4 linked regions of the Elephas maximus indicus genome follow. The protein of the gene in region 1 interacts with the protein of each later gene in a biochemical or structural test. Links are inferred from orthologs where the notes say so. Each region holds a gene or a part of one and is shown in the gene's direction. Other genes may lie near its edges.

Region 1 (7,437 bases):
GCCAATGTCTTGAGATATGAAAGAAGGAAGTGAGCAGAGAGACGTGGGGACCTCATACCACCAAGAAAGTAGTGCCAGGGAAAGAGCATGTCCTTTGCACCAGGGGTCCCTGTGCTAAGAAGCATCTAGTTCAGGGGAAAATTGATGATAAGGACCTTCCTCCAGAGCCAACAGAGAGAGAATGTCTTCTCCTGGAGCTGACGCCCTGAATTTGGACTTCTAGCCTACTAGATTGTGAGAGAATACATTTCCCTTTGTTGTAGCCATGTACTCATGGTATTTCCGTTAACAGCAGCCATAGATAACTAAGACAGTTTGTTTAGTCCACAGAAAAACATTTAGAAACAATACAACATTCACAAACACTCAGATGATGGTCTTTAAATACCGTTTCTCACTAAAAGAACCAAGCCACCTTGGACAAATGGCTAATAATAGATAAAACCCCCAAAAACCAAACCCAGTACCTTCGAGCTGATTCTGACTCATGGTGATCCTATGGGACAGAGTAGAACTGCCCCGTACAGTTTCCAAAGAGCGCCTGGCAGATTCAAACTGCCGACCCTTTGGTTAGCAGCCATAGCACTTAACCACTATGCCACTAATTACAGATATGGGGTAAGAAATGTTCAATATGAGCCTAAAAAGCAATCAAAGACTACTAAGGGCTGTGTCAAAAGGACTCAGGAACCAACCTGAATAAGCTCCCACCGGCCTGAGATAAAACAATCTGAGCATCAATAAGGATAATATCTGCGATGGATAACAACTCACCAGATATGTTTAAATCCCTGTATTTACTATAATAGCTGTTCGCTTTTGGGTTTCTATCCAGCAAACTTTTCTTAATAGTATAAGGTCATGATATGATTTTATTTGCAATTAGAATAACCATTAATTCAGCATTATGTAACTAGTTAACCCTTCTCTTAAAACCAAACCCACTGCCGTCAAGTCGATTCGGACTCATAGCGACCCTATAGGACAGAGGAGAACTGCTCCATTTTTCTTACTACTATGTAATTCATATATCAAATTCCCATATATATATATACATATATTTTTTTTCTGGGCTCTCAATCTTGCTCCTTTGTCTATCTGTCCATCCTTGTGCTAATATGGAGCCCTGGTGGCACAGTGGTTAAGAGCTCAGGTATTAACCAAAAGGTTGGCAGTTTGAATCCACCAGCTGCTCCTTGGAAACCTTATGGGGCAGCTCTCCTCTGTCCTACAGGGTTGCTATGAGTTGGAATTGACTCGCGAAAGCAATGGGTTTTGTGCTAATGTCTGAATTACTACGGCTTTACTTTGTAACTCTTGGTATCTGGGAGCACAAATCCCTTGAATCTTATTTTTCTTCTTCAAAATTATCTTGGATTGTGTAAATATTTTAATTTTTCTACATAAATGTGAAATATGTTAAAATGGCAACCTCTTCAATATACAACTTATTTTTTTTTTTCCAAATTGCCAGCAACTATAAACTGGAAATATGAAAAAAAATTAACTGAATAAATGGGTAAACACATGTAACACTAGACTACAAGCTATACAAGATTAGAAGTTATAAAGTACTATCTATTTTTTATTATACCTGCATGACATTTTATACTTATTTGGGGAAAAATATTTAAGGCATTTGAGTTTCTGAGATTCAAGTTTTCCAATACATTGAAGGATATCATCACGTTACTTTTTTGGTCAGGACAAGAACTGAAACAGAAATAAACTTGCATTCAGGATGAATAATTCTTGCTACATATACTTTCTAGATTACATATATTCCCACATGTATTAGGAATGTTTCTGTAATTGAGAAATAGAAATTTCAACTAAATACAAAATTAATACCAAAACGCATGTGTATTTTTGGAAGTTTTGAGTCATTGGGAGCAATGGCATTTTTCTCTGTATCACAAATCGTTAAGAATACTTTTTTTTACTATTAACATTGGAACAGAAGACCTCCTGTTCTGAGACTGACTGGCAGGCAGAAATGACATGGACAGGAAATGGGAAATGGTTCAGGGTCCTGGAATTCCCCTGGCTGCCTAAATCAAGTGGCTTGTTATTTGGAAGTTTTTGAAATATTTGCCCCCTGGAGTTCCCCTGAGAGAAGAAAGCATCTAATTTCATTGACAAAGAGTATCTTCAGAATACATAAAAATTGGTTTCGCTGCAATACAACAAACATTTACTTTGTGCCACTGTGTTTGAGGTACCACTAGAGAGGGGTGAGACAAAAGGTCCCTGCCTAGCAAAACCAAGAATTTTTTAGAAAAAAAATTTTTTTTTTTTTTATGCTTTAGATGAAGGTTTACACAGCAAATTAGTTTCTCGTTGAACAATTAATACACATATTGTTTTGTGATGTTGGTTGCCAACCCTGCGACGTGTCAACGCTCTCCCCTTCTCGACCTCGGGTTCCCCATTTCCATTCACCCAGCTTTCCTATCCCTTCCTGTCTTCTAGGCCTTGCACCTGGGCTAGTGTGTCCATTTAGTCTCAGGTACACGGCTGAGCTACCTGTATTGTTTTATGGGCCTGTCTAGTCTTTGACTGACGGATGAACCCCAGGAGTGACTTCAGTACTGAGTTAAAAGGGTGTCCGGGGGTCATACTCTTGGACTTTCTCCAGTCTTTGCCAGACCAGTAAGTCTGGTCTTTTTTTTTCAAGTTAGAATTTTGTTCTACATTTTTCTCCAGCTTTGTCCAGGATTCCCTATTGTGATCCCTGTCAGAGCAGTTAGTGGTGGTAGCCGGGCACCATCTAGTTGTGTTAGATTCAGGCTGGTCGAAGCTGTGGTAGTTGTGATCCATTAGTCTTTTGGACTAATCTTTCCCTTATGTCTTTGATTTCCGTCATTCTCCCTTGCTCCAGACAGGGTGGGTCCTGTGGTGTGTCTTAGATGGCCACTCACAAGCTTTTAAGACCCTAGATGCTACTTGGTGAGGTCTTTTGATGAGTATAAATGTTAATTTTTAGAAGATCCCAGTTACCTAGCTTATCTTCTGGTATTTGTGAAAACCAAGATTTTTTAATTTACAATTTTATTTCTATCACTTAACTACTGAAATTTGGATAAATGGACTCCTCTGTGGTTCTCATAAGTATATATCATTTGTTAAATATATATATGTTGTTAGTTGCTGTTGAGTTGACTGCAACTCATGACGATCCCATGTGTGTAGAGTAGAACTGCTCTATATGGTTTTCATGGCTGTGACCTTTCAGAAGCAGATTGCCAGGCCTGTCTTCCAAGGCGACTCTGGGTATGTTCAAATCGCCAGCTTTTCAGCTAAGAGTTGAGTCCTTAACTGTTTGCAACACCCAGGGACTCCCCTCATCCCCATATATATATTTATACAAACATATATATATACACATACAAATATACATATATAATATGTATATACAGACAGAAACACAGACAGACGTACCATGGGTAGCACAAATTACTAACCAAAACTACCCCATTGTGGTAGAGTGGATTCTGACTCATAGCAACACTATAGGACAGAACAGAACTGCCCTATAGAGTTTCCAAAGCTGTAATCTTCACGGAAGCAGACGGCCCCATCTTTCTCCCACTGAGTGGGTTCAAACCGCTGACCTTTCTGTTAGCAGCCCAGCGCTTAACCTCTGTGGCACCAGGGCTCCTTGAAAACCCTATGGAGTGCAGTTCTACTCTGCACACATGGGGTTGCCCTGAGTTGGAATGGCAACTGGTTTGGTTTTATATAAGATATAATACACATATCCTGTTGCAGAGTGGCATAGATTCCAACTCAGGGCAACTAGATGTGTTCCAGAGTAGAGCCGCTCCATATGGTTTTCTTGGCTGTAATCTTTATAGAAGCTGATCACCAGGCCTCTCTTCTGCTGCACTGCTGGGTGGGTTCCAGAAGCTAACCTTTATGTTAGTAATCAAGCGCAGTTTATGCCACCCAGGGACTAAACACACACACACACACACACTCTATTTTATTTAAAATTCCAGAAACTATTGCAAGTGAAGACTGGCCTGAAATAACGGTTCACACTGCTCACAATGAGCCTCTGAAATAGGAACACTTTTTCGTTAGTCCATCTGTCTCCAGAACAAAAGAACCCAAAAGCTTAAAAACAGTCAAAATTTAAAAAGAAGATACACTGGCTGATTAATCACAATTAATCTTCTGATGCTGTACTACTTTCCAATACTTCAAAGTTTCACATTTTTTCAATTTAGGCGGCTAGCTGCTGACTGTTGTAACCCGTAAAGATCAGAGCGCCACGCAGTTTTACTCTGAAGAAAAGCGGTTACAAGTGTTTACTTAACAGAAGCAAAAATGCCACTGGATTGAGTCCATCCCCAAATGCCGTCATCTAGGCCGGCAGAAGGCGTCACACTAGTGGAATTTTGCCAGGGGCGGGATCAGAGCTCAGAGGTGACATGGGGGACGAAGCGCAAAACCACTAACACAAGGGCGTTTCCGCAGGGTTTCCCAAGATTCAAACGCAACGGCTCTAGGTTTGCCACGTCCCGCTCAGTAAAATGTCAGGGACGAAAAGACGGCGAAGCGTTAAAAGAGCGCAAACGTCCAGATTAAAAAGCGAAACACCGAGCTGAAGTGGACGGTGCCGCCTCACCCGTGAGCTGACAGCGCAGCGCCAGGTGGGCGCCCACACCCGGCCTCCCCGCGTCCCTCCCGAACACACGTCCCGTGGTAGCGAACCCGCGCTCCTCCTCTCCGCCCTCGGGCGCCGGTTGACGCGGGCCCCCGGCCAAGCGCGCTGACGTCACCGTGCGTCGGCGTCGGCTCTGCTTCGGCAGGGTCTTCGGAACCAGGACCGGTACCCCACTCGGCTTCAGCCCCTGTCGCGGCGGCCGCTCGGCGGGCGTGAGGAGGCCGCTCGGAGCCGGTCTGCTGCCGCGCTACTTCCGTCTTTGCTGCGCCCGCACTGCGGTGAGTGCGGCTACTTCCCGGCCGGGGCCGCGCGAGAGCGCGCGAGGCGGGTTGGGGCGCTGGAGCTGCGGCGGCCCAGTTCCCGAACGCTGCGGTCGGACGAGGGAGGACAGCGGCTGGGGCCCCTCGACCGAGCGTCCAGGGCCGCAGCGAGCTTTCTGCTGCGCGCCCTCGCCGCGGCTTTCATTTAATTCGGAAACTCCGCTTTCAAGACTTGGAAGTCGAAAGTGATTTTTGAAAATTGGCTTGTTTTCATGCATACTCTAGCCGCCGCCCACTTTCCCGGCCTTTGGACTTTGACCAAAATTTTTCCTCTTAGAGTTTTTGCAAGATTTTAAACTTGGCCCTCGATGTACCTTTAATTTGATATATTTGAAGGGAGGCGACCCTGTGGCGGCGAGATCTCATATTTCACGTAGTTCCAACGGCGCCCTGCCGCTCTCAGTGGCTTGTTGTGTATTGTGAAAATTAACTCCGGGAACTGAATGGGCAAATCTCATAGTTTCAACTTTTCCCTTCCAGTCCCTATCCCACCCTCCGCAACCGCCCACAGCTACGGTTTGCATAAAAAGAGCAAAATTAGCTTGTAGATAAAAATCTAGATATATGAGACCTCGTGTTGTTAAAGCATGCGTGCAAGCGGTCACGTTCCCAAGGCCTGTGTTTCTCAGGCCCTTGTTTTGTTTTGTTTTCGAGTTGCGTTGTGTGGTGGTTGCTTTGGAATTGTGAGGGAATTGTAGCGTTTAAGTTGAAGGGTTTATTGTATTATTACTAGGCACTTTGCCTAGTCCTGGAGCGGCTTGACGTTAAAAAAATAACGTTTGTGTCATAATTACCGCTGTACTGTTGCTCATGAGGAATAGTGAGGTCTTCTTTTCTTACCACTACCCCCTTTTGCCTCAAGCAAACTGCCAGATATTATCCTTAAACTATTAAAAGTTGTCACCAGAAGAGGTGAGGAGACCCAAAGACAAAATGTTTTCCTATATGGAAAGGTCCCTTGTACACTTTTGTAACGTGTAATTAATGTTAATGGGAGTATATTGCTTTTATTTCAATTAAGAGCTTTTGTAATCAGAAAGCTTTGGTGACATTGCTGGAAATAAGATGTATTGTGTAAAGTGTAAATCCTTTTTAGACTTTGTGGGATAAATGGAAGCATCTGTGATTCTCTTTGCCACAAAAATAAAATTTTCTAAAATTTTGTTTTTTCTTTTCAGATTTACAGCCTTGAAGAGTCTACTTTTTTTTTTTTCACCTGCAGTATTAAATCCCACCATGGAAACCCAGAAACTTTATAAAGGGATATAGTTTGAATTCTGTGGAGTTTAATTTTGTGTATGAATTATATATTTAAAATACCAACTGTTCACAGAAAGAAGGCTAGTAGGATTACTGATCCATTATGCATCAGCAGTAATTCTGTTGGTAATGTTAGGCATTTGTGATAACACTAGAAAAGACAAACTGTATTTTTTGATGAATTACTTCATCATTAATTACAAAATGGATGCTATAATCATGTATGGCCCTTAAATGAATGCCAGGCTATTTAATTTTTAAATGCGATGTAAAATGTTTCTCCTGTGGAAATTTTCTGGCTAAGTAGTTAAGTCTATGGAAAAATACATTAGATTGATCAAGTGCACAAAGTGGTGTGCAAAGTTAGTAAGGAGGACAACACAGTAATGATGCTATTTGAAATGGAAACATGTATAGAAAATATTTAACAAAGGTGGAAGAGTTAATAGTTTGTGACCTTTAAGCAAAATTTATTTCGTTTGAAATCATATACGCCCTAACAAGCTTAGGTTCAACACAGCTTGTGGATGTTGACTTCCCCAAAAGTTGTTATTGAAGCTAACAATCTGCTTAAGTTAATACTATGATGAGAAGCTATATGAAATTAGTTTTTAGATAATGTGGCTATATGAAGACTTTAATTAGTTTACTAGAATAAAACAATTTTTTTTTATGCCGTATTAAAGTGCTTATAGGAAAAGACGCCTGATGCATATAATTTTGTAATTTGTCGTTTGTAATCAGAAGCAAATTAAGGGCATAATTTAAGTATTCTATTTTTTTTTTTTTTTATGGTTACTTAGCTTACAATGTTTGGAATATAACCTATCTGAAAAATCAAGGTTTTTTTTAAACATAACTTTCAGAAGTGTATCAACTTCTTTCAGACTGTTAGGTTAGTATTACACTAAATTATGAGCAAATAGCACCTGAGTGACCTAAAAGATTTAATATAGTCCCAAAGAGTACTAAGTGGTATCTTGGTAACCTAGGAGAAGTAGCCATCAGGTAACCTAGGCATGAAGTAGGATGCCTGAGTGTGTACCCAGGTGTAAATCCAGTAAAGAAGGTGTAGTGAATTCTAGATAGTTAGGAGGTTATCATTTGATTCCTTTTTGTGGTGAAAATATAATTTAGTATGAAGAGATGAGAAGTTTCATGTCAAAGCTTTTAGCCATCAGAAAT
Region 2 (7,113 bases), on another chromosome or scaffold:
AGGTGGAAAACCAAAAGGGAAGAACACGGTTGGCATTTCTCAAGCTGAAAGGACTGAAGAAAAAATTCAAGCCTCCAGTTGCTATAGTGAAGGATTCCATGGGGAAAATATTAAACGATGCAGGAAGCATCAAAAGAAGATGGAAGGAATACACGGAGTCATTATACCAAAAAGAATTAGTCGATATTCAACCATTTCAAGAGGTGGCATATGATCAGGAACCGATGGTACTGAAGGAAGGAGTCCAAGCTGCTCTGAAGGCGTTGGCGAAAAACAAGGCTCCAGGAATTGATGGAATATCAATTGAGATGTTTCAACAAACAGATGCAGCACTGGAGGTGCTCACTCACCTATGCCAAGAAATATGGAAGACAGTTTCCTGGCCAACTGACTGGAAGAGATCCATATTTATGCCTATTCCCAAGAAAGGTGATCCAACCGAATGTGGAAATTATAGAACAATATCATTAATATCACATGCAAGCAAAAGCTTGCTGAAGATCATTAAAAACAGCTGCAGCAGTGTATCGACAGGGAACTGCCAGAAATTCAGGCCGGTTTCAGAAGAGGATGTGGAACCAGGGATATCATTGCTGATATCAGATGGATCCTGGCTGAAAGCAGAGAATACCAGAAGGATGTTTACCTGTGTTTTTTTGACTATGCAAAGGCATTGAACTGTGTGGATCATAAAAAACTATGGCTAACATTGAGAAGAATGGGAAATCCAGAACACTTAATCGTGCTCATGAGGAACCTTTACATAAATCAAGAGGCATTTGTTCAGACAGAACAAGGTGATACTGATTGGTTTAAAGTCAGGAAAGGTGTTCGTCAGGGTGTATTCTTTCACCATGCCTATTCAATCTGTATGCTGAGCAAATAATCTGAGAAGCTGGACTATATGAAGAACGGGGCATCAGAATTGGAGGAAGATTCATAAACAACCTGCGTTATGCAGATGACACAGCCTTGCTTGCTGAAAGTGAAGAGAATTTGAAGCACTTACTAATGAAGATCAAAAACCACAGCCTTCAGTATGGATTGCGCCTCAACATAAAGAAAACAAAAATCTTCACAACTGGACCAATGAGCAACATCACGATAAACGGAGAAAAGACTGAATTTGTCAAGGATTTCACTTTACTTGGATCCACAATCAACAGCCATGGAAGCAGCAGTCAAGTATCAAAAGACACAGTGCGTTGGGCTAATCTGCTGCAAAGGACCTCTTCAAAATGTTGAAGAGCAAAGATGTCACCTTGAAGACTAAGGTGCACCTGACCCAAGCTATGGTATTTTCAATAGCACCATATGCATGTGAAAGCTGGACATGAATAAGGACGACCGAAGAAGAACTGACCAACGCCTTTGAATTGTGGTGTTGGCGAAGAATATTGAATATACCATGGACTGCCAAAAGAAGAAGTACAGCCAGAATGTTCCTTAGAGGCAAGGATGGCGAAACTGTGTCTTACATAACTTTGGACATGTCGTCAGGAGGGATCAGTCCCCGGAGAAGGACATCATGCTTGGCAGAATTCAGGGTCAGCGGAAAAGAGGAAGACCCTCAGTGAGGTGGACTGACACAGTGGCTGCAACAATGAGCTGAAGCATAACAACGATTTTAAGGATGGCTCAGGACCCCGCAGTGTTTCGTTCTGTTGTGCATAGGGTTGCTATGAGTCGGAACCAACTCGATGGCCCCTAACAACAACAATATATATTTATTTTATATTTAAACCTTTTAACTTTTTATTGAAGTATAATATACATTGAGCAAAGTGTACATAAATCTAACCTCAAAGAATTTTCATAAACTGAACACACTCATGTAACTGGCACCTAAAATCTAGGTTCTACATCAAGAAACAGAATATTACTAGCACCCCAGAAGCCTTATCATGTCCCCTTCTACTCACTACATCCCCCCACAAGAGTAACCACTGTCTTAATTTCTCACAGCATAGATTAATTTATTTTACACTTTATGTTAATGGACTTATCAGTACGTTCTCTTCTGTGTCTGCCTTTTTTCATACAATATTATTGTAGATTGTTCAATCTCATTGACTTTAGTGTTCTATTGTGTAAATGAAGCACAATTTATCCATTTCTTCTGTTAATGGGCTATATATAATTTGAGGCTATCATAAGTCACACTGTTATAGACATTCTAGCATATACATACATAGGCCCACATATCTATGAGAGGAATTGCTGGTTCATAGGGGCTACATATGTTCAACTTTAGCCCTACAATTTTCACCTGTTCACCACCACAGAACTGTTTAAAGAAGTGTTGTTTCCTTACTTGTATAATTTTTATTTTTCATAGAATAGTAATTGCCTTATTTTTTTCAGTTCTATGTCCAGTTTTTCAGACATATTTCATTAGATCTATCAAACACCTATTAATACAGTCTCCCAAATACTCAAAATTAGATCATCTATAAATTTAAATATTTTTCTAAAGCCTTTCCTCTTGAAGCCTTCCATCCTCCTGTCCCATTGAAAATGGGTTTCTCCCCACTCTGACACATGCCCTGGGGTTTCACTTCTCCATTCTCCTGATCCTGGTTTTCTGGAACCCATGTTTTGTTTTTTTCTTTTCTGGCTTACACCCATGTTTTGTTGGGGTACATACTTTAGTAGCTTTCTAAAACAAGGCTAATGGAAAGCAAATATTTGTACCCCTGTATATGTGCAAATGTTTATTTCACCCTTATACTTGTTAGATAGTTCAGCTGACTATAAAATTCAAGGTTGGAAGCCAATTTCCTTCATAATTTTGAAGAAATTTCACTCCATTGTTTTTTTTAGCTCACAATATTATTTAAAAAAAAAAACTCAGTGCCATCGAGTCGATTCCGACTCATAGCAACCCTATATAATTATTTAAAAAAATATATTATTACTCTTGATAAATCCAAGCCATGCTCCTTCCCATGCCTTTATTCTTGTTTCTTTCCTCTAAAAACTTTGAGTCTTCTCTTTATTCTTAATGTTTTGATCTTCTTAAGAATGTGCTTTAATGTAGGTTTTTCAGTTCACTGTGGACACCAGGTGAGTCATTTCAATATGGAGACCCTTGTCCTTCAGTCCTGGCAAAATTTCTTCAATTATTATTGTGATCATTCCCTCCCTGCTGATTTTTTTGTTCTCTTTTTCTGGAACTCTTAGTTTGTGAGATGGATGGATGGCTCAATGAGAAAGTTTTCTGAGTACTTTTAGGAGCAAAAAGTTCAACAACAAACAATAAAGCACAGCACAGCAGATCATATCTTCAAAGCTAAGCAATTTGTTTTAAATCATCAAAATTTTAAACATAACATTTCTTTACAATTTCCCGCTGTGCACAAATACAGGAAGGACTGGTTCTCTGTACGCAGAAGTCCTTTATTCAAGTCAGGCATTTCTTTTTACTGCATTACAATTCACTAAATTCCTAGTATGGACTTGGAGTTGTATATAATATTTGCACTCACGATATAATCACTTAAGTAGAAAAGTGGGACTTTTGGTTTTGTCTTTGTTTTTAAGTGGAAAAATGGAAAGATGTTTGCAGTCTTTTTCGGTTGGCATTAGACACTGCTTGCAATCCTCTTTTATCTATAAAAAAGAAATCTTTGCACTCTTATCTGGAGTTAGATGGATTTTCTCAGGTTCATTTTCAATCCCGATATATTATTATGGACATTGGAAAAGAGGAGGAAGAAAACCAGATTCCTAGTAGGCGGGCGTGTGCCCAGAGCAAAACACAGCCGAGGGTATTCCGCTCTGAGGAGATTTATCACCTTTCCCTCACTCGTCAAGTGGCTGCAAGTGAAGGAAGACTGGAGTCCAGGTTCGCAGTGGCATAGGGGTTAAGTGCTACGGCTGCTAACCAAAATGCTGGCAGTTCGAATCCACCAGGCGCTCCTTGCTATGGGGCAGCTCTACCCTGTCCTATAGGGTCACTAAGGGTCAGAATCTACTCGTCGGCCACGGGTTTGCCTGCCGTGGAACACGGCGCGCTCCGCGAAGCGCTCCTCGCGCAGGCGCAGAGTAGGGAGCCGGGATCACGCCCCTACCTCTGGAGTTTGGCTACTCTCCCGACTGCACGCGGCCGAGACAGAGAATCCACCCGAGTGGGGGCTCCCGCTGACCAATCACACACCCGCCAGCCGGCTGCGTTGAGGAACTTTCCCAAAAGGAAGACTTTTCCATATTCGGAGAGGGGTGAAGACAAAAGGAGTGCCACTGGCTGCCTCGCCCCCGCGCCCTAGCCCCGCCAGAATCGGACAGACAGTGGGGGCCGCAGGCTGAGACGAGCGCCTTCCCCGGAGGACGCAGGCGGACGCCCCCCTCTGCTAGCCCGCTGACGTCGCCTGAGAAGTTTGGAGAGGGAGGAGCTCGGCGCCGGGGTTCGCCGGCGGGGCGCGCCTGGGAGGGCCCAGTCTAGGAGAGGAAGCTCCTCCTCGCCGCGGCGCTGAAGACTTGACCCCACTTTCCAGAAAAGTGTGCTGAGGCCGGGGAAAAGCAGCCGGCAGCGCGGGGTCCGACGGCGGCGGGCGTGGGCCGCCTGGGAATGGGCGGCCTTGTGACCTAGTATTTGGGAGCAGGAACACCTCCCGTCCGCCTGGCGCCGGAGCGGACCCAAGCGCGCGCGTGCCGGGGAGCCGCGGGAGCAGAGAGCGCACCCGGAACGGGCCTTCGGCCTGAGTGCCCGCGCCGCCAGCGACCATGAACGGGGAGGCCATCTGCAGCGCCCTGCCCACCATTCCCTACCAGAAGCTCGCCGACCTGCGCTACCTGAGCCGCGGCGCCTCGGGCACCGTGTCGTCGGCCCGCCACTCGGACTGGCGTGTTCAGGTGGCCGTGAAGCATCTGCACATTCACACTCCGCTGCTCGACAGGTAGGGCGCCTAACTCGGCGGCACCCCCTCCCACGATATCCGCCCCGGGTAGGCGGACTGTAGAGCTCAAACGGCAGTGACCGCCTGGGGTCGGCCCTCCCCGTCGTCATTTCTGGGCTAGTCCTTCAAAGCTTGGGGCTGGCAGGGTGGGAGGAACCAGCCTCTCGAGGTGCACACTCGGAATCGTCCGCTCATCTCCTCTTCACTGCCTTCTCTCTGCGTCCCGCCGTTCCTCCTCTGACTTTCCTAGGCTGGTACCATATACCAGAGACCTGCCATCACAGCCCATCTCGAAATGCCCGATGTATTGAAATTGAGTTCTTTATGTAGTGGGTTTGTTTTTGTTTGCTTTTTTTTTTTTTTCTCGTTTTTTTGAAAGTGGGCTCTAGGGCTGTGCTGTCCAATAGGTAGGCAGTTGTTAGCCATAGGCAGCTGTTGAGCGACTGGTCAGTCGAACGGAAATGTGCTTTGTCAGTGTAAGATACACACCGGATTTCGAAGATTTAGTACAAAGAAACGAATTTAAACTAACTCATCAGTATTTTTATATCGATTGCGTCTTCAAATAATAATGCGGATATATTTGGTTAAATAAAAGATGTTACCAAAATTCATTTCATCTGGGGTTTTCTGTGTGTGTGTTGTTTTATTAGAGTTTTTTGTTGTTTTTTACTTTTTTTAATGTGACTTAGAAAATTTGAAATTACATTTGGGGCTGGCATAATTGGACAGCGCTGCTCTAGAGTTTTGAGATGTCTTGTTTTGGGGTTCTTGTAGTTTCTGTTTTGTTTGTGGTTCTTGTTTTCATGAAACTTTATCAACCTCAAAATTTGCAGTTAGTTTCTCCTCCTACTATTATGAGGAAGACTGTCTCTAGGAAAAAAGTGTGTATTTTTTTTTGTGGGAGCGATAAACTGTATCCAAAGAGTGTTAAGTGGCCAAAAAGTGTTTAGAGCCGTTCATCCTGGCATGATTGTAGTGTGATGTTCAGGTTTTAAGGAGCCCTGGTGATGCAGTGGTTAAGCACTTTGCTGATAACTGAAAGGTCAGTGATTTGAACCCACCACCAGCTCTGTGGGAGAAAGATGTGGCACGCTGTTTCCCTGAAGATTTACAGCCTTGGAAATCCAATGGGGCAGTTATATATATATTATAATTCATAGGGCCACTGTGAGTCTGAATCAACTCCATCGCAGTGGATTTGTTTGGACATTTGGTGGTGGTTTTGTTTTAGCATTAGTTTCTCTTTCCGAAGAGAAAAGCCTTACTGTAAACCCTTACGGTAAACGTGTGTGTATGCAGTAGTCAGTGGTCTAGTCACTAGTTCGGTATTCTATCTTTCCCAAAGGAATTTAACAAGGGCCTGCATTCAGTTCTCAGTGACCTAACATTCATGATTACAACATTATCTTATCTAATGTGAGAATACATCACGCTCGATGCCTGACTGGCCAGAGGCTGTTAGTATCCAGTATCGGATACATTCCTCAACTTTCAGCCCAGCCAACGTTATCATACTTCCACCTGCCTGTGGCTTTCTTTGCTGTCTCTCACTACCAGCGTTGGGTGGACTAGATCTCACAGCAGATTTCAGACACTTCTGGAGATTGTTCCCACCTTTTTATATACTATAGTCCACATCCAGTGATGTGCAGGGTGTGGTGTCTGTTTACACTAGGTCTTGAATTCTGTGGGGCAAGTGCTGGGCAAGTGTGTGTAGTCAACTCTAGAGGGTGGTGGCTGGTCAGAGAGGGTGGATATATTCTAGAACTAACTAGGTAGATGGTATATGGAAATCTAGCACTGATGGACCCATTAAATATTTTAAAGCAAATTGATCCTTCTTCTGTTTCGGATGCTGCTTCTCAAGATTTTAGTTTACCTGAAATTTTGTGCTGTTTGAGGGGCCAAGGAGTTAAGAAAGAGCTCCCTTTCCATGCTCATACAATTTTCGTAGTCCAAAAATTTTTACCAAGTTAGGTAGAAAATTAATTGTCTTCTAAGAAGCCATAAAGAACCTTGGTAGTGCGGTGGTTAAGGGCTTGACTACTAACTGAGAGGTGGTTGTTTCAAACCCACCTAGCAGCTTTGCAGAAGAAAGACCTGGCAATGTGCGTCCATAAAGATTACAGCCAAGAAAACTCTACGAGACAGTTCTGCTCTGTCACACGGGGTCACTATAAGTCAGAATCCACTCGAGGGCACCCAACAACAA
Region 3 (6,883 bases), on another chromosome or scaffold:
AAGTATCTGTGGGTTGAATGAGCAAGGCTCAGAATTCTCTTGTCAAAAGGTCACACAGACCAAGATTCCCACTGACATCCGCCTGATTTAGAAGCCCTTGCATTCACCTCCATACCATCCTGCCTCTTGTGTGTAGGAAAGAACCAAGGGAAAGTTGTCTCCAGGTGGAGAATTATGAGTCCAAAGCATCCACTCCTTTGGACTCCTCTAGATTGAAGGATTGGTAGACGCAGTGATGGGGGTAAGCATCCACTAACTAAACCACCAAACCATGTTGCCTTCAAGGCGATTCTCACTCATGGCAACCCCGTGTGTTACAGAGTAGAACTGCTCCACAGGGTCTTTATAGAAGCAGATCACCAGGCCTTTCTCCCATAGTACTACTGAGTGGGTTCGAAACACCAACTTTTAGGTTAGTAGTCGAGTGCAAACAGTTCACATCACCCAGGGACCTAACAAAGACACTGTCCACCGTAATGCCTCTTCACTGGCACACATTATAATCTTGCCAGCCCTGAGCCTGGCTCTCCAAGTATTTTCAGAGGGTAGCAGAGTATGAAGGGCAGATGTTGGGTTTTCCAGTAAAACAGGCTAGGTTCCCATCTCAGTTCTGCTGTGACTGTGAACTGTGATTGCCCCTCTCTGAGCCACCTTCCTTCTGCACAATGTGGATAAACAAGCTTCACTTATGGGATTATTGAGTTGAAAGGAGATCATAATGGAAGTGTCTTCTCAGTAATCATGGATTTCTTGGAAGGTTAGTAGCCTGAGGAGAACTGCTGACATTGGGAACAGCCTTATCGGGATCCACCAGACTCTGAGCCAAGGGGCCCCATCTGTCAGGACTTTTCTGCTTTGAAGCGGGTGTTAATAAATATAGAAAGCCTTATCTCTTTGATTTCACACTGAGAAATCTGGCCTTTGCTTGGCCTTTTGTTCCCAGCCCTGGGCTGCTGCAGCAGGACAAGAGAGACTGCAGTGGGAAGGAAGGCACCTACTTCTACCTGGGTGGTTGATGAACACCTGGACAGGGGCAGGACCTTTGGGAGGAGGGCAGGCCTTTGGGAAAAACGTGGCCTTGGCCTCACCAAGCCTGTATAAATGGCGTTTTCATCTACTAGGTAAGCCTATTCCCTCTGGACCTTGGTTTTCTCCTAGTAAAATGGGGCAAAACCAGCAATGCCTTCCCTTTCCATCAGCCAGCAAGGTGCTTGGCACTTGACAGGTGCTCAGTCAGTTTGTTTGTTGAATGAATATTGAGTATGAGAGGACTTTACAAAAGTCAGATATTATTACTGTAACCGGGATCATTTGGGAAAATGTGGGGAAAGGAAACTATGTGGAACGGGAATGTTCCTGGCTCTCTCAACTCCTGTCAGGACCTGCGATGGTTATTTAGAAGAGACCTAACCCTCAGCTTCTCTGTCCGGGGAGAAAGGGGGAACAGGCAGACCCCAGGGCTGGGACTCCAGTGTAGGCCAGATTCTATCCCTGGCTGGCTTCATGGGACCCTGCGCCTGAATAAGCCTCAGTTGTCCCACCTCTGTGGGCTCTTCCAGCTCTGACACATTCTAGGATTTTTGATAAGTAATTTCACAAATTGTTCATGAGAGAAGGGAAGACACTTCTGCTGTTTTCCCAAAGCACCTCACAATCTATAAAACACTTTCAGATCCTTTGTGCTTTTCATTCTCTTAGCAACCCCAGAAGAGCTGGGGCAAAGTCTATGTGCTCATTTTACAGACGAGGACACTGAGGCCCAGAAGATTTCTCAAAGGGGGATAATCTGAGGCCGCCTCACACATTTTAGTTATACAGTTACATCAATTTGTTCTCCAATGTCATCATGCATAAAAATTACCTGGAAAGGCATGGGAGTGGATGCTTGTTTAAAAATATAGATTCATGGGCACCTAGAGATTCTAAAATGGCTGGGTTGCAGTAGGGCCCAAAGCTAACAAGAGCCCCAGCTGGTTCTGAAGCCTAATGACCACTCTTGGAATACCAGGACCTACTTGTTGCATTCTGGCAGTCTCCAACATCAGCCTGTTTCTTTCATAACCCTCCTCAGCTCAGCAGCTGCTCTAGGCCAGGCCATTATGGGGAGGGGGCACTGTTGAAGCTCCCAGGGTGGTAGGGAAGGCAGATGGAGAAGCTGAGTGGTGTGGTCAGTGCTGGAACAGAGGCAGCCTAGGGCAATACAGGAAGTGAGTAACTTCAACTCTGGAGGGCCCCCTGGAGGAAGTGATACTTTAGACTAAGTGGAGGGATCTTGTTTGTGTCCTAAAAACAAACAAAAAGAGAACCCTGGCTGTCAAGTCAATTCCAAGTCACAGCAACCCTACAGGACAGAGTAGAACTGCCCCACAGGGTTTCCAAGGAGCTCCTGGTGGATTCGAACTGCTGACCTTTTGGTTAGCAGCCAAACTCTTAAGCACTGCACCATCAGGGCTCCTAGCTACTTTTTCTCTTGTGGGTGACCCCCATCAGACTGCAGGCAAGTTCATAGCAATTATCAAGTTTTTCACATCTCTATCCTCAGTACTGTCACAAGACCTGGCACAGAGGAGAGGGTGGTCTTGGTCAAACCTGCTGATCTGAGCAAGGAGAAACCGTTGGTGGAGATGGGTCAGGGTCTCAGGATTAAACGCAGTTTCATGTTCAGTACTCCCACTTCCATCCTTTGCTGAGGTCTAAGAAGTTGGAGTTTTGCCTTCCACATGGGATTCCCAGCCAATGCACTTTGTGTGCAGCCACCCTCCTGTCAGTGGAGGCTTGAGTATTGCTATGACACTGAACAGTTTTCAGCAGAGCTTCCAGACTAAGGCTGACTAGGAAGAAAGGCCTAGGAATCTACTTCCAAAAATCAGCCAATGAAAACCTATGGATTACAACAGTCTGATCCCCAATAGAACATGGGGCTGGCACAGGACCCTGCAGTTTCCCAATTCAATGGCAGGTAACACCGGTGGAATTACTTTAGTATTGGAAACTCCATATTGTATTGTAAACTCTTGTTATCTCTCTGTTCCCCTCCTCCCGGAGTCAAAGTCTGAACTAAAGATGGACACAGAGCAGGCTCTCAAAACATCTGTTGAATAAATGAATGTTTGAGCCTGTCGTTATGGGTCGGAATCGACCCGACGGCACTGGGTTTTTTGAGTCCAAGCAAAAGCTGTGAGTTGGCTACTGCAGGGCTGTCCAGCTAAGACGAGGCCACCGGAGAAGCCCCAGGAAAGCCCCAGACCTATATTAGGCCAGACATCCCTTCCCATTTCCTGGCAGCCCCCTTCTGCTGGGCGTCTGGCTGGGTAAGGGACAGGGGAGGGGCAGGATTTGAGAGTAAATGGCATAGGTGGGGCAAGTTGAGGAGATGTAGCTGGGGCTTAGAAGGTAGGCCTGAGGATTCAGAAAACAGAAGACAGTTTCTGGAAATCTGGGCTGAGGGTCTGGAGGTCATGTGGGGGCTGCAGGCGGACGATGTGGTTCAGCACGTGACGGCTTTAGAATGGAGACTCTGCCCTAAATGTCTTCATTATGGTGGGGTCACCAGGATGGGGTGTGTCGGGACGGGGTGGGGGCGGGGCCACCACGCCTCGACCAGGGGCTGTCTGGCCTGGGGGCGGGGAGTGTGAACAAGCCTGGCACCGCCCCGACAAAGCCTGCGCGCGCCCCGTACTGCGATTGGCTGTTCCGCACCGCACCGCCTCCTCGTCCCGCCCCCCACCGCCGGTCCGGCGCACAGCAGCCAATGGGTGCCACCGTCACCGCCTCCGTCACAGCCCAGGTAGCCAATGGTGGCGATGTTCTGCGGCTCGTGGCTCTTTCGCGGCAAAAAGGATTTGGCGCGTAAAAGTGGCCGGGACTTTGCAGGCAGCGGCGGCCGGGGGCGGAGCGGGATCCGGAGCGGGATCGAGCCCTCGCCGCGGCCCGCCGCCATGGGTCCGCGCCGCCGCCGCCGCCTGCCACCCGGGCCGCGCGGGCCGTGAACGCCATGGCCGTGGCCGGGGCCCCCGCGGGCGGCCCATGCGCGCCGGCGCTGGAGGCCCTGCTCGGGGCGGGCGCGCTGCGGCTGCTTGACTCCTCGCAGATCGTCATCATCTCCACGGCGCAGGACGCCAGCGCCCCGCCGGCCCCCGCCGGCCCCTCCGCTCCCGCCGCCGGCCCCCGCGATGCCGACCTGCTGCTCTTCGCCACGCCACAGGCGCCCCGGCCCACACCCAGCGCCCCGCGCCCCTCGCTCGGCCGCCCGCCGGTACGGACCCCAGGGACACCCGGCCAAGCGCCCTGCCTGTACCCCCCGCGCAGACCCGGGCGGGGCGCAGTGTTTGGCCAGGAGGCAGCGGGGGCCGGGGGAGGGGTGGACTGAGGCGCCCGCGCTGGGCGGTGCAGAGCCTGGGTTGGGCCTCCGGGCCCCGCCCCGGGCTGCTGGGTGACCTCGGGCCAGTCCTTGTATGCTGCTTTAGGCTCTGGGCCTCCGCTTCCTCACCATAGCCGCTCGGGTCAGCCACCGGGTCAGAATCAGTGATAATAATGGCCCACGTGGTTTCAACTAGCGCTTTGGCTGAGCCCTTGACCGACTTCAAGCCAGCCAAAACTCACAACCACGGTGTGAGCTCGGTGTTGTCACTGTGTCCATCTGACGGAGAAGGAACTGAGGCCCAGAGAGGGGAAGGGACTTGCCTCTGGTCATAGGTGGGGCTGGAGTTTGAACCGAGGCCTGCTGGCTCCAGACCAGAATCTGTGGCTATGTAGGGGTGGGGATGGAGGTGGAGGTGGTCCTTGGGGCTGGACTGTTGGGACGCCATTGAGGACACCATCCTTCCTGCCTCCATGCTCCACTGCCAGGTGCAGGCCTGGCCCTCCAGGCCCCTGGGGACAGGCCGCCTGGCTGGGAGGCCTTCTCTGCAGGGGTGGGGCAAGACGCCTAGGCCAGCTGCTGATCCCCTCCCTCTGCCTGTCCTTCCATCTGCCACCCTCCACCCTCTCAGGCCCTGGTTGCCATAGAACCTCATTAATCAGGCAGGCCCCTGTGGAAGAACTGAGTGGGCTGGGCCTCTGGGAGCTGGGGGGAGACCCCCAGTGCCAGGGGAGAGAAAACCTCTCAGGGAGATAATCTGATAAAGGCCTCTCTGAGCAACAAGAGGTGGAAGGATCAGTTCAGACTGGGGGCCCAGAGAGGGTGTCTGAATTACAGTGGGAGAAGGGAGTGGAGGCCTGGAGCTTGAACCTATGTGCTGCAGGGCAGGGCGTGTAGACCAGTTTGACTGGCGCAGCCTGTGGGTGAAGGTGGGGTGCAGGCAGACGGGGGCTGGCCAGGAAGGCTGGGGTCTGGCGAGGGGCTCAGAGCAAGCAGGAGGGGTGAGACAGGGTCTGGGACAAGGAGGTGGAAGCTGCCCAACTGCCATTAGGGGCGTGGGTGGCAGCTGGTCCCTGAGGCATCCCGGGAAAAGCCTCCCCCAGCCCCCTTGGCCCCATGCCCAGTGCTGCCTTCCTTCCGGAATCACCAAGATGCTAATAATAATAACAATAGCAGCCACCATTGTTTTGAGAATGTTTTGTGTGCAGGGCTCTGTGCCAAGCCCTTTACCCAAATTAATCCATTTAACCCTCTCAACAACCTTCCCCTTTTACAGATGGGGAAATTGAGGCACAGAGATGTGACAGCCTTCCCCAGACAGGATCAGCTAGTGAGTGGTGGGATGATGAGCCCAGCAGTTCAAGCTGGGATGCCTTGGAAATGCTAATAGAGGTTGAATGAAGCCTGGGGAAGTAATAGGGACCTATGGGCCTGTGAATGAGTGGGAGGGGTGCGTGTGGGCTGGGGTGGATCAGCCTTGCTTGCCTCCTACCCTCCAATGAAATGACGTGTCTGTCAGAGTACCAGCTTGAGGCTTGGGCAAGTGGTCTCCATTTAGCTGACTGACGAGCACTTAGCAGGTGCAGGGGTACAGAGACAGCAGAGGCTGAGGGCTCCAGGCCCAGAGGAACTGTTAGGGACTGGGAGGAGGAAAAATGACACACACATACACACATAGGCACAAGCACCCTGCCACAACCATCAGGGGCAGCCTCAGGGGCCCTGAGCATTCCATTCATTCAACAGCTGGTGAGTTAGTGAGCATCCGTGAGATGCTAGGCACAGAAGCAGGTAAAGAGTCCCTGCCCCACAGTGCTTATGGCCCAGTGGGCATTTTTGTGCTGGGGCGGGGCTGGCACCATCCCGGAGCCAAATCTGCAAACAGGCCCAGCTGTTGCCCTCCAACATCCCCAACTCTTACACCTGTGGGTAGCCCTGGGCACAGGTTCCCACCTACCCTTTGCACATTTGTTTGGGGCAGTCCCTGAATCAAGCTACAGGCTCAGCTTTTGCGCCAGTGAGCATTTATTGAGTACCAACTGCATACAAGGCTCTGCACAATTCAGCCATTCCCCCGGCCCTTCTTATCCACCCCCACCCTGTTGTGCCTTTTTTTTTTTTTTCCATTACAAATATATGCTTATTGTAGAAAACATAGGAGAATAGAAAGTTGAAGGGGGCAGGATCCCACTCCTATTCACTAAAAGTAATTTTTTTTTTTCTCCTTAAGCCTGTTCTTGCTTTTTATGTAGTTATGAGAGCTTTTGTTTCCTAAAACTTTAAAATTTCACTTTTTTCCCTTTGTTTCCTCGCTCAAGCGTCATATCATTCACACTGTACAGATAAGGCCAACATCCCTCAGTCACCCATGCAGAAGTGGCGATGCAGTGGTGTATAATAGTCGAAACTGAACCAGAGGAAAACAGTTTGGTAGTTTTTTAATTCACAAAGGATTATATAAATATATGATGCTATGACGATGTTTGTGCTTGCCCATGTCTGAGAGGATTCTGGGTCCATCTG
Region 4 (7,785 bases), on another chromosome or scaffold:
TGCTCATCCAGCCAGTGTTTAAGTGCTCACTTTGTTCAAGGTACCTGAAGAGTAGTGAGCCTGCCCCTGGGAGCAGGGCAGATAAAGCATGGGTAAACATGATCCGGCTGAGGGCAGTGGTGGTGAAGGGCAGAATTCTCACTTTCCATGCAAGAGATTAGGGTTCAATTCCTGGTCAATGTACTTCATGTGCAGCCACTACCTGTCTGTCAGTGGAAACCTGCAGGCTGCTGTGATGCTGAACAGGTTTCAGCAGAGCTTCCAGACTAAAACAGACTAGGAAGAAAGGTCTGGCCATCTACTTCCAAAAATCAGCCCATGAAAACCCTATGGGTCACAACGGTCTGATCTGCAACGGATTATGGGAATGGTGCAAGGCTGGGCAGCGTTTCATTCCGTTGTGCATGGGGTCACCCTGAGTCAAGTGGCCAACTCGATGGCGGCCAGCAATAACAACAAACTTGATCCAATAGGGTGAGGACCTAAAGAAGGCTCAGGTAAGTGCAATGGGAGTTTAGAATAGGCAGAGATCATTTTTGGCAGCAGGAAGCAGAGCCGGCTTTGTGGAAGAGGTGGCATTACATTCATTCATATATTAGACATTTTTGAGGCCTGGCAGTGTGTCAAGATATTAAGTAAAGGGATGCAAAAATGAATTAGATAAGATCCTTGCCTATTCATGGCCTAGTGGTTTAGTTAGCACAAACACAAATATCTGTGATGCAACTGCTAACTGAAAGGCTGGAGGTTCAAGTCCACCCAGAGGTGCCTGAAAACAAAGTCCCGGTGATCTACTTTAGAAGACTCAGCTATTGAAAACCCTAAGGAGCACAGTTCTATGCCGATACACATGGGGTCACCATGAGTAGGAATCAACTCAATGGCAACTGGTATACTTTAGATATTACTGGAATGACTGGCTGTCTGGGGTTGTCAGGGAAGGCTTTAGAGCCAAGGTCTACCCTAGTCCTTGAAAGAGAGAAGTCTGGCAGACAGAGAATGGAACCACCGAATATACAGAGGCATAGAGGTGAAAGGACACAGCCCATTTAAGATAAGAGCAAGATCAGTGTTGGCGGAAGGTTCAGTTCATAGTGGGAAGGCAAGTGGGAGTTGAGAGATAGGATGTATGAGTGGGAGAGGTGTGCTAGGCTAGGGGAACAGTGTGAGCATGGTCACAGAGGTGAGAAATCACGGTACCTATATGCATAATCCTAAAGTAATTCAGTCTAGCTGCAGCTTTAAGTGTGTGATGGAAAGGAAAGGGGAATAAGGTTGGAAAGATAAGTTGGTGCCAGATCATGGGGGACCCAGAATGCCTGGCTAAAGGACTTTGAATTTTATTTTGAAGACCAAGGAGGAAGACACTGACGGTTTTTGAGCAGGGAGTGACTTAATCAGAGCTGAGATCAAGATTAAAACAGAAAATCATAAAGCAAGCCTCTAGAAATTGGATATTAATTTTGTGGGCATGGGGTTATACACCTTTTCTCTGATGCAGCAAAGGTTGGGAAATCCTGAATATAGAAGGGTACAGAGGCCAAGAGCAGATATAGGGACCACAGAACCTGGAGCAGGTGGGAGCTGAAGGATGATTTCACTGTTGCTAGTGGAACTCAGGGAGCCCTGGTGGTGCTGTGGTTAAAGAGCTTGGCTGCTAACCAAAAGGTCAGCAGTTTGAATCCACCAGTTGCTCCTTGGAAACCCTATGGGGCAGCTCTACCCTTTCCTATAGGGTAGCTGTGAGTTGGAATCAACTCAATGGCAATGGGTTTTGAGTTGGTAGGACTTCTAGGTAGCTGGAAATTTGGAAATAGGGGTGGGAATAGGGGTTGGAGGAGGTAGAGACTTGGGAGTCTTCTACATAGAGGGTGGTGGCAAGTACCACACATGGGCAGACATAGGGGCCAGAGGTGGCAAAGCGAGTCATCAGGGGTCTTGTAGTTGCAAGCGACAGAAACCTACTCACCCTGGCTTAACCAATAGAGAGAATTTATTGGCTCATGTGATTGAAAACTGGAGCAAGGCTGAGTCTAGGGACTCAAACAATGCCACTGGGACTTGGTTTCACTGTCTCCATCCATCAGCTCTGTTTTTCCCTTTTTGTCTTGGTCTTATGCTCAGACAGTCTCTCTCCTTGCAGTGGGATGGCTGCCAGCCGTGCCACGATTACATCCTGCCCTCAGCAGATATATTCATTCAACATGAAGGTTCTGATCAAAGTCCCAGAATTGAATCTTATTTGTTCTCATTAGGTCACAAGTCCATTGCTGAAGTGCTGTGGCAAGAGGACTCTCTATAAATTCTTTGATTTGCCAAACCTGGGTCACATGTCCATCCCTGCAACTGGAGGTAGAGCCACCTCCTCTGGAGTTACAGGAATCGAGAATTGGGTAAGAGACTTCTCAGGAGAAGTGAAGTGTTGTTACCAGAAGTAGGAGAAATTGACAGTGGGCTGGCAAACGGAGAGTGGGGGAGGGAGGGCTGGATATCCACGGGCTGCCTCTCCTGTTAATATGAAGCAGCTGTAGCCAGTGGGGCAGTGAGGAGGAGACACTAGCAGGCTGGGCCAGCAGCAAGGGATGGGGTAGACTGGGGTCAAGTTGTGATGCCACTGACATTTGGGGCTGTGAAAAGGTCTGGGAGGGCCTTCCTGATAAAAATCTGACAACATAATAGACAAAGTCCTTGTCCTCTGAATGAAGGCAAGAGAAGTTGAGCAGTTGGGTGACACCCCATCAAGATATTGCTGCTATGGAAAGGGCAGGCATTGTCTGGGGACATTCATGAGATTGTGAGACGGGATGAAGGAAATGTCATTGCAAACTGGCTTTGCAGAGGGAGAAAACACAACCACTTTTCAAGTTTCAGAAACTAAGCTTACGCATTTTTACAGTAGTCAAAAATTTACAAGTTTTCAAAAAAAATAAAATAGCCAAAAGCAGCCTAAGTCTTGAACAATAGGAGATTGGATAAATTCTATAATACCCATATAGTAGAACACCAAAAAAAAAAACCAAAAAACAAAAACCCAAACTCACTGCCGTTGAGTCGATTCCAAATCACAGGACCCTACAGGACAGAATAGAATTGCTCCATAGGGTTTCCAAGGAGCGGCTGGTAGATTTGAACTGTCGACCTCTTGGTTAGCAAAAATGTTGCTTTATTTGACATGGAAAGATGTTCATAATGTTTTGAGAGAGAAAAGCGGGTCACGATCTTATTTTGGTAAAAATAAATGTATATATAAACCAAACCAAACCAATAGCTCTTGAGTTGATTCCAACTCATTGCGACCGTATAGGACTGAGTAGAACTGCCCCATAGGGTTTCCAAGGATGTAATCTTTATAGGAGCAGGCTGCCACATCTTTCTCCAGCAGAGTGGCTGGTGGTTTCTAACCACTGACCTTTTGGTTAGCAGCTGAGTGCTTAACCATTGTTCCACCAGGGTTCCTTAAACATACATATACATAGAAAAAAGTCTGGAAAGGTACTCACCAAAATGTTAATAGCTGGTATCCATGAGGGTAGGATTAGACCTGAAGTTTATCTTCTGATTTCTGTATAATAAACCTACTGGGTTGTAAGATAGTGTAGTGGTCAAACTAGAGCCAGGCTCCTGGGTCCAAGAGCCTAGGTCCAAGCCCCTCCTCTGCCACTGCCTGGCTGGGTGACCTTTGGCAAGTTTCTTAACATCGCTGAGTTTCAGTTCACTCATCCATAAAATGGCGACAATAGTGCTTACTTCACAGGGTGATTCTTAGAAATTGTTTACTCCTACATGCAAAGTTGTTAGCACCACGCTTATAGTATACACTGAAAAATGTGGTTATTTTTTGTGGAATTAAAAAGTCCAAGAGAAAATATGATGATTAAATGAAATATATTGGAATTTTATCTTTGTTGGCGAAATAGCTGTGGCAGTAAGCAACATATTAACTATTACTAGGATAAACTATTTTTCTCTGAACATTGGGAAACATGTGAGAATAAGACAGAGAAGGTTCCTATTCTCCCGGAGCCTGAAAGCTAGCGGCGGCAACATAATAAACAGGTGCTCTGAGGGTTTTTTTTTTTTTTTTGAGGGTAGGAGAAACCCTGGTGGCGTAGTGGTTAAGTGCTACTGCTGCTAATCAAAGGATCAGCAGTTCGATTCCACCAGGCTGCTCTTTGGAAACTCTATGGGGCAGTTCTACTCTGTCCTATAGGGTCGCTATGAGTTGGAATCGACTCGACAGCGCTGGGTTTGGTTTTGGTTTTGGTGAGGGTAGGATGATAGGGAAGACCGGGACGTTAGAGGGCTGAGAAAGTCAACCAACAAGTGCAAAGCCCTACGGTGGGGAGGAAGTCTCTGAAACAAAAGAAGACCTTTGTGGCTGAAGCGAGGGACAGTGGGGTGCACGCAGCTCTCACACCACAGCGGACTGAATACAGACCTGGGGAGCCAGGAGGCCACCCACTTGCTGTGTGATCTCGGGTAAATCACTGCCAGTCTCTGAGAAGCCTCTGTCCTCTCTGCAAAATAGGAACGATAATACTTTGCTTCCCAGGGTAGCAAGGATCAAAAGAAATGTCATTGGTGTGTTCTGCAAACTATTCTTTCTAGTTTTTGAACAGCAAGCACTGGGGAAAGAGGTGCCGAGTTGAATACTAAACACGTGAGCCATTCCGGTCTTGCGCGTGCGCGTTGGTCCAGCGCAGCGGAGGCGGAGGAGGAATTTAGGCTCCGCCTCGAGCCGTCCCAGCCTCTTCCTCCCCTCTCCATCCCTCCCACTTCCGCGGGCACCCAGCCGTGCGTCTCCTGCGTGGTGACGTCAGGTGCGTGCCCCTGTCCGGCAGTCGAGGAGACCCCGCGCAGTGCTGCCAACGCCCCGGCGGAGAAGCTGAGGTGAGTGCGGGGCCTCAGGCTCCCCGAGGGAGCGACTCCCCCATCGTCTTGTCCCTACCGCGTCGCCCCCAGTCTTTCCCCATTCTCGGGGACCCGTGGTCTCCGGGATTCTGGGACGGCTGGGAGCGCGGAACGCGGGAGGGTGCCCGGCTCGCGCTGCGCCCTCCGGGCGAGCGCGGGTCCGCGTTCTGTAGGGGCACTAAGGGGCGGGAGTCGCGGCGGGGAAGGCAGGGTGCGCGCCCGCTGCGAGGCGCGGGGCCGGTGCTCCGGGTGTCGGCCCGAGGGCACGGGCGGGGCCGGGCTGTCACCGGGCAGCGGCGGAAGGAAGGGGTCACACCCATCCCGGCCGCCCGGGTCCCCCTCCCCCTCCGGCCGGGCCCCGTGGGCACCCAAGGGCGGGCGGCCGGGCTGGGGCGCCTGGGGCCCCGCTTCACGGAGCCGCGCGCGGGCGCTGGAGGCGGAGGACGTGTCGGTGGCCGGGGCTCGAAGGCTGGGTGCTGCCCACTGCGCTCGGCTTCGACTTCCTGCTTCGCCGGGCGCCGCCGCGGACATTTTGCGGCGGGCGGGGGGAGGGGAGCGGCCTCGCGACCGCGGCGGGGAAGTGGCGGGCGGGGAGGGGGCAGTTTGCGGAGTGGCCCGGCCGGGCCTGCGACGCCCTTCCCGCCGCGGCCGCCCAGCTCGCCGGCTTCTCGGGGCAGGGTGGGTCCGGTCGCCCTCTGGCCGGGGTCCTTTTTCCTGCCCTAGGTAGAGTTGCCCACAGCGTTGCCGTTTGCTCCTCCAGCACCTAACGCTCTCCTGGCTCATTCAGCTGCGGCTTCCCCTTCAGGGAGTTACCTAACCCCTCCCGAAACTGTCGCTCGGCCGTCGGCTTAATTCCTCTTACTAAGGGGAAATTTTCTTTGTTCGTTTGTTTTTTTCCTCCCCTTTAAATCCTAGAGAAATGCAGTGTGGAAGATTACGTCATCGCAGTCTAAGGGGTGAGAGTTTTAACTCCTCCAAGTCAGGGACTCAGCAGAGTAAGACAGCGTTTTTGCAGTTTCAGTGGGTCACCCAGAGACTTCCCTTGCTCCGCTCCCCAGCGCGTCATATTCGGAGGTGGTTTTTTTTTTTTTTTTGATATCCTGTTACTCTTGTTCTTGGCCACCTCAGTTGCATCTAAAGGAAGGTTTAAATGTCAAAATTAGGTTGTGACAGAAAATAAAGCGTAAGACAACACTTTCTGTAGCCATTTGCATAGAATATAACTTTAAAATTCCCCTCTGACTGTACTTGAACGAAGCCACCTTATTTGTGGGTGCATTTTTTTGGCCCCCAAATGACTTTCCGGGAGTGATTGACTTGTCCCATATACTTGTTTGATGCACGGTACCTACCTAGATTGCCTCAGTTGCTCTCTTTGTGGCAAGGGTGTGGTAGTGAGAGGATCAGTTTTGCTTCCTAGGCACTTTAGTTTTTTAATTCAAAACAGTTTTGAGCTTTTACCAAAAAAAGTAAATGAGTGATATTTTTAGGCTTTTGGGATCACTGTTTTTGTTCCCAAGAATGTGAGGTACAGTCTAAATTTTCCATCCTTGTACAGAGTACGGTAGCACAGAAAAATGTTAGCATTGTAAAGCAGATGAATTTCAGTTGTGTGAATGCATTGTTACAAAGGGTAGTTCATGTTGGTACAAGTACTTTTCTATTGTTTCTCATTTGTGTAGAGAGAACAGATTGTTTGTTAAGAAACACAAACTTTAAGAAGTGGTAGATTTAAATGCGCTTTCTCCAGTGTGGGTGTTGAAGATAGGTATGGCACATGAATCTTCTGAAATAGTTTTCTTTGCGTTAAAGTGGTATCTTGCTTTAGAAGTATAAAAATGAAACACTGGTCTGCTGCCTTATTTCTCGAGTCCTCTATTTTTAAGAAGTCTCTGTGTATCAGTTCACATCTTTCTTCTTAAAAATATAGCAGAATAGTTTAAATGAACAATTTTCAGACTGAGACAACAAAATAATTGAGGATTGAAAATAAGCTCTTCCAGTAATGTCTTTAAACATCCTCTGTCTACTCTTAAAATGGTTTCATGTAGTAGCCAACACTTGTGCTCAGTGAAACTTTTTTCTTTGGAATTTAAAGGTAAATACACAGCTTTGAGTAGTCGGGGCTTAAACATCAGTGAGATTCTTAAAGAATACCAAGACCAAATCTTGAAGTCTTTTTGTAACTTCAAGGTTTGTTCCTCTTTTTTAGGATGCTTTTCCATTTGCACTTTTGTGGACTATTTGGAAGAGCATTTCTTGTTAAACGGTTATGCTAATAAAATGTTTTGATTCAAGAGCTGTCAAATTTGGAAAACTACAATTGCTGTGCCTGTCTGATGAGTAATATTGATAGTCATTCTTGAAAGTAAAAGTCAAGTTGTACTTATGGATAGATTTCTAAATGCATTTGTTTATTGTTTTAGTGTCTTTTTTGAGAGCAATGAAGAGCCCCTAATGAGAACTGTAGGCTACAGGGCTTTTCGGGGAGCAGGGAGTAATAGTGTGTTAACTTATTTCCCATATATGAATCTGTATATCCTCCTATTTGTAAAGGGCTCCATTCTAGGCTTTTATTATAATTCCTTATTCAGTTTTCTTTTCTAAATGTGTTTGTTGTCAGTCTCTCCCACTAGCATGTAAGCTCTATGAGGGCAGAGCTTTGGCCTGGTATGGTCACTCCTATATCCTAGCATCTAGAATAGTGCCAGGCACAAAGTAAGTCTCAAGAAATATTTGTCAGGTGGATGAATTTGATGCTGTCTAAGGGTTGACATTTTTCCTCTATGCGTATTCCATAAGCCCTTGTACTTTGTTTCCCAAGGCATCTTTTTGTGCTTGATCAGCTGTATCCATATTTGGGCTCATTGAAGT

What was found.
Region 2: the proteins of BIRC2 (region 1) and RIPK2 form a complex in vitro, tested with the Homo sapiens proteins (4 studies listed by BioGRID, with this or other methods). The link is inferred for Elephas maximus indicus from reciprocal best matches to the Homo sapiens genes BIRC2 and RIPK2.
Region 3: the proteins of BIRC2 (region 1) and E2F1 form a complex in vitro, tested with the Homo sapiens proteins (2 studies listed by BioGRID, with this or other methods). The link is inferred for Elephas maximus indicus from reciprocal best matches to the Homo sapiens genes BIRC2 and E2F1.
Region 4: the proteins of BIRC2 (region 1) and CDC42 form a complex in vitro, tested with the Homo sapiens proteins (2 studies listed by BioGRID, with this or other methods). The link is inferred for Elephas maximus indicus from reciprocal best matches to the Homo sapiens genes BIRC2 and CDC42.

Annotation. Positions count from the first base shown.
Region 1 is NC_064825.1:18,245,173-18,252,609, reverse strand, and holds the start of BIRC2 (baculoviral IAP repeat-containing protein 2), read left to right. Parts: upstream 1-4,426; 5' UTR 4,427-4,950; intron 4,951-6,170; 5' UTR 6,171-7,437. UniProt on the Homo sapiens protein: Multi-functional protein which regulates not only caspases and apoptosis, but also modulates inflammatory signaling and immunity, mitogenic kinase signaling, and cell proliferation, as well as cell invasion and metastasis.
Region 2 is NC_064833.1:52,120,545-52,127,657, reverse strand, and holds the start of RIPK2 (receptor-interacting serine/threonine-protein kinase 2), read left to right. Parts: upstream 1-4,093; 5' UTR 4,094-4,725; coding exon 4,726-4,898; intron 4,899-7,113.
Region 3 is NC_064843.1:35,860,189-35,867,071, forward strand, and holds the start of E2F1 (transcription factor E2F1), read left to right. Parts: upstream 1-3,863; 5' UTR 3,864-3,994; coding exon 3,995-4,255; intron 4,256-6,883. UniProt on the Homo sapiens protein: Transcription activator that binds DNA cooperatively with DP proteins through the E2 recognition site, 5'-TTTC[CG]CGC-3' found in the promoter region of a number of genes whose products are involved in cell cycle regulation or in DNA replication.
Region 4 is NC_064821.1:62,283,945-62,291,729, forward strand, and holds the start of CDC42 (cell division control protein 42 homolog), read left to right. Parts: upstream 1-4,783; 5' UTR 4,784-4,890; intron 4,891-5,533; exon of another isoform or gene 5,534-5,867; intron 5,868-5,884; exon of another isoform or gene 5,885-5,985; intron 5,986-7,785. UniProt on the Homo sapiens protein: Plasma membrane-associated small GTPase which cycles between an active GTP-bound and an inactive GDP-bound state. In active state binds to a variety of effector proteins to regulate cellular responses. Involved in epithelial cell polarization processes.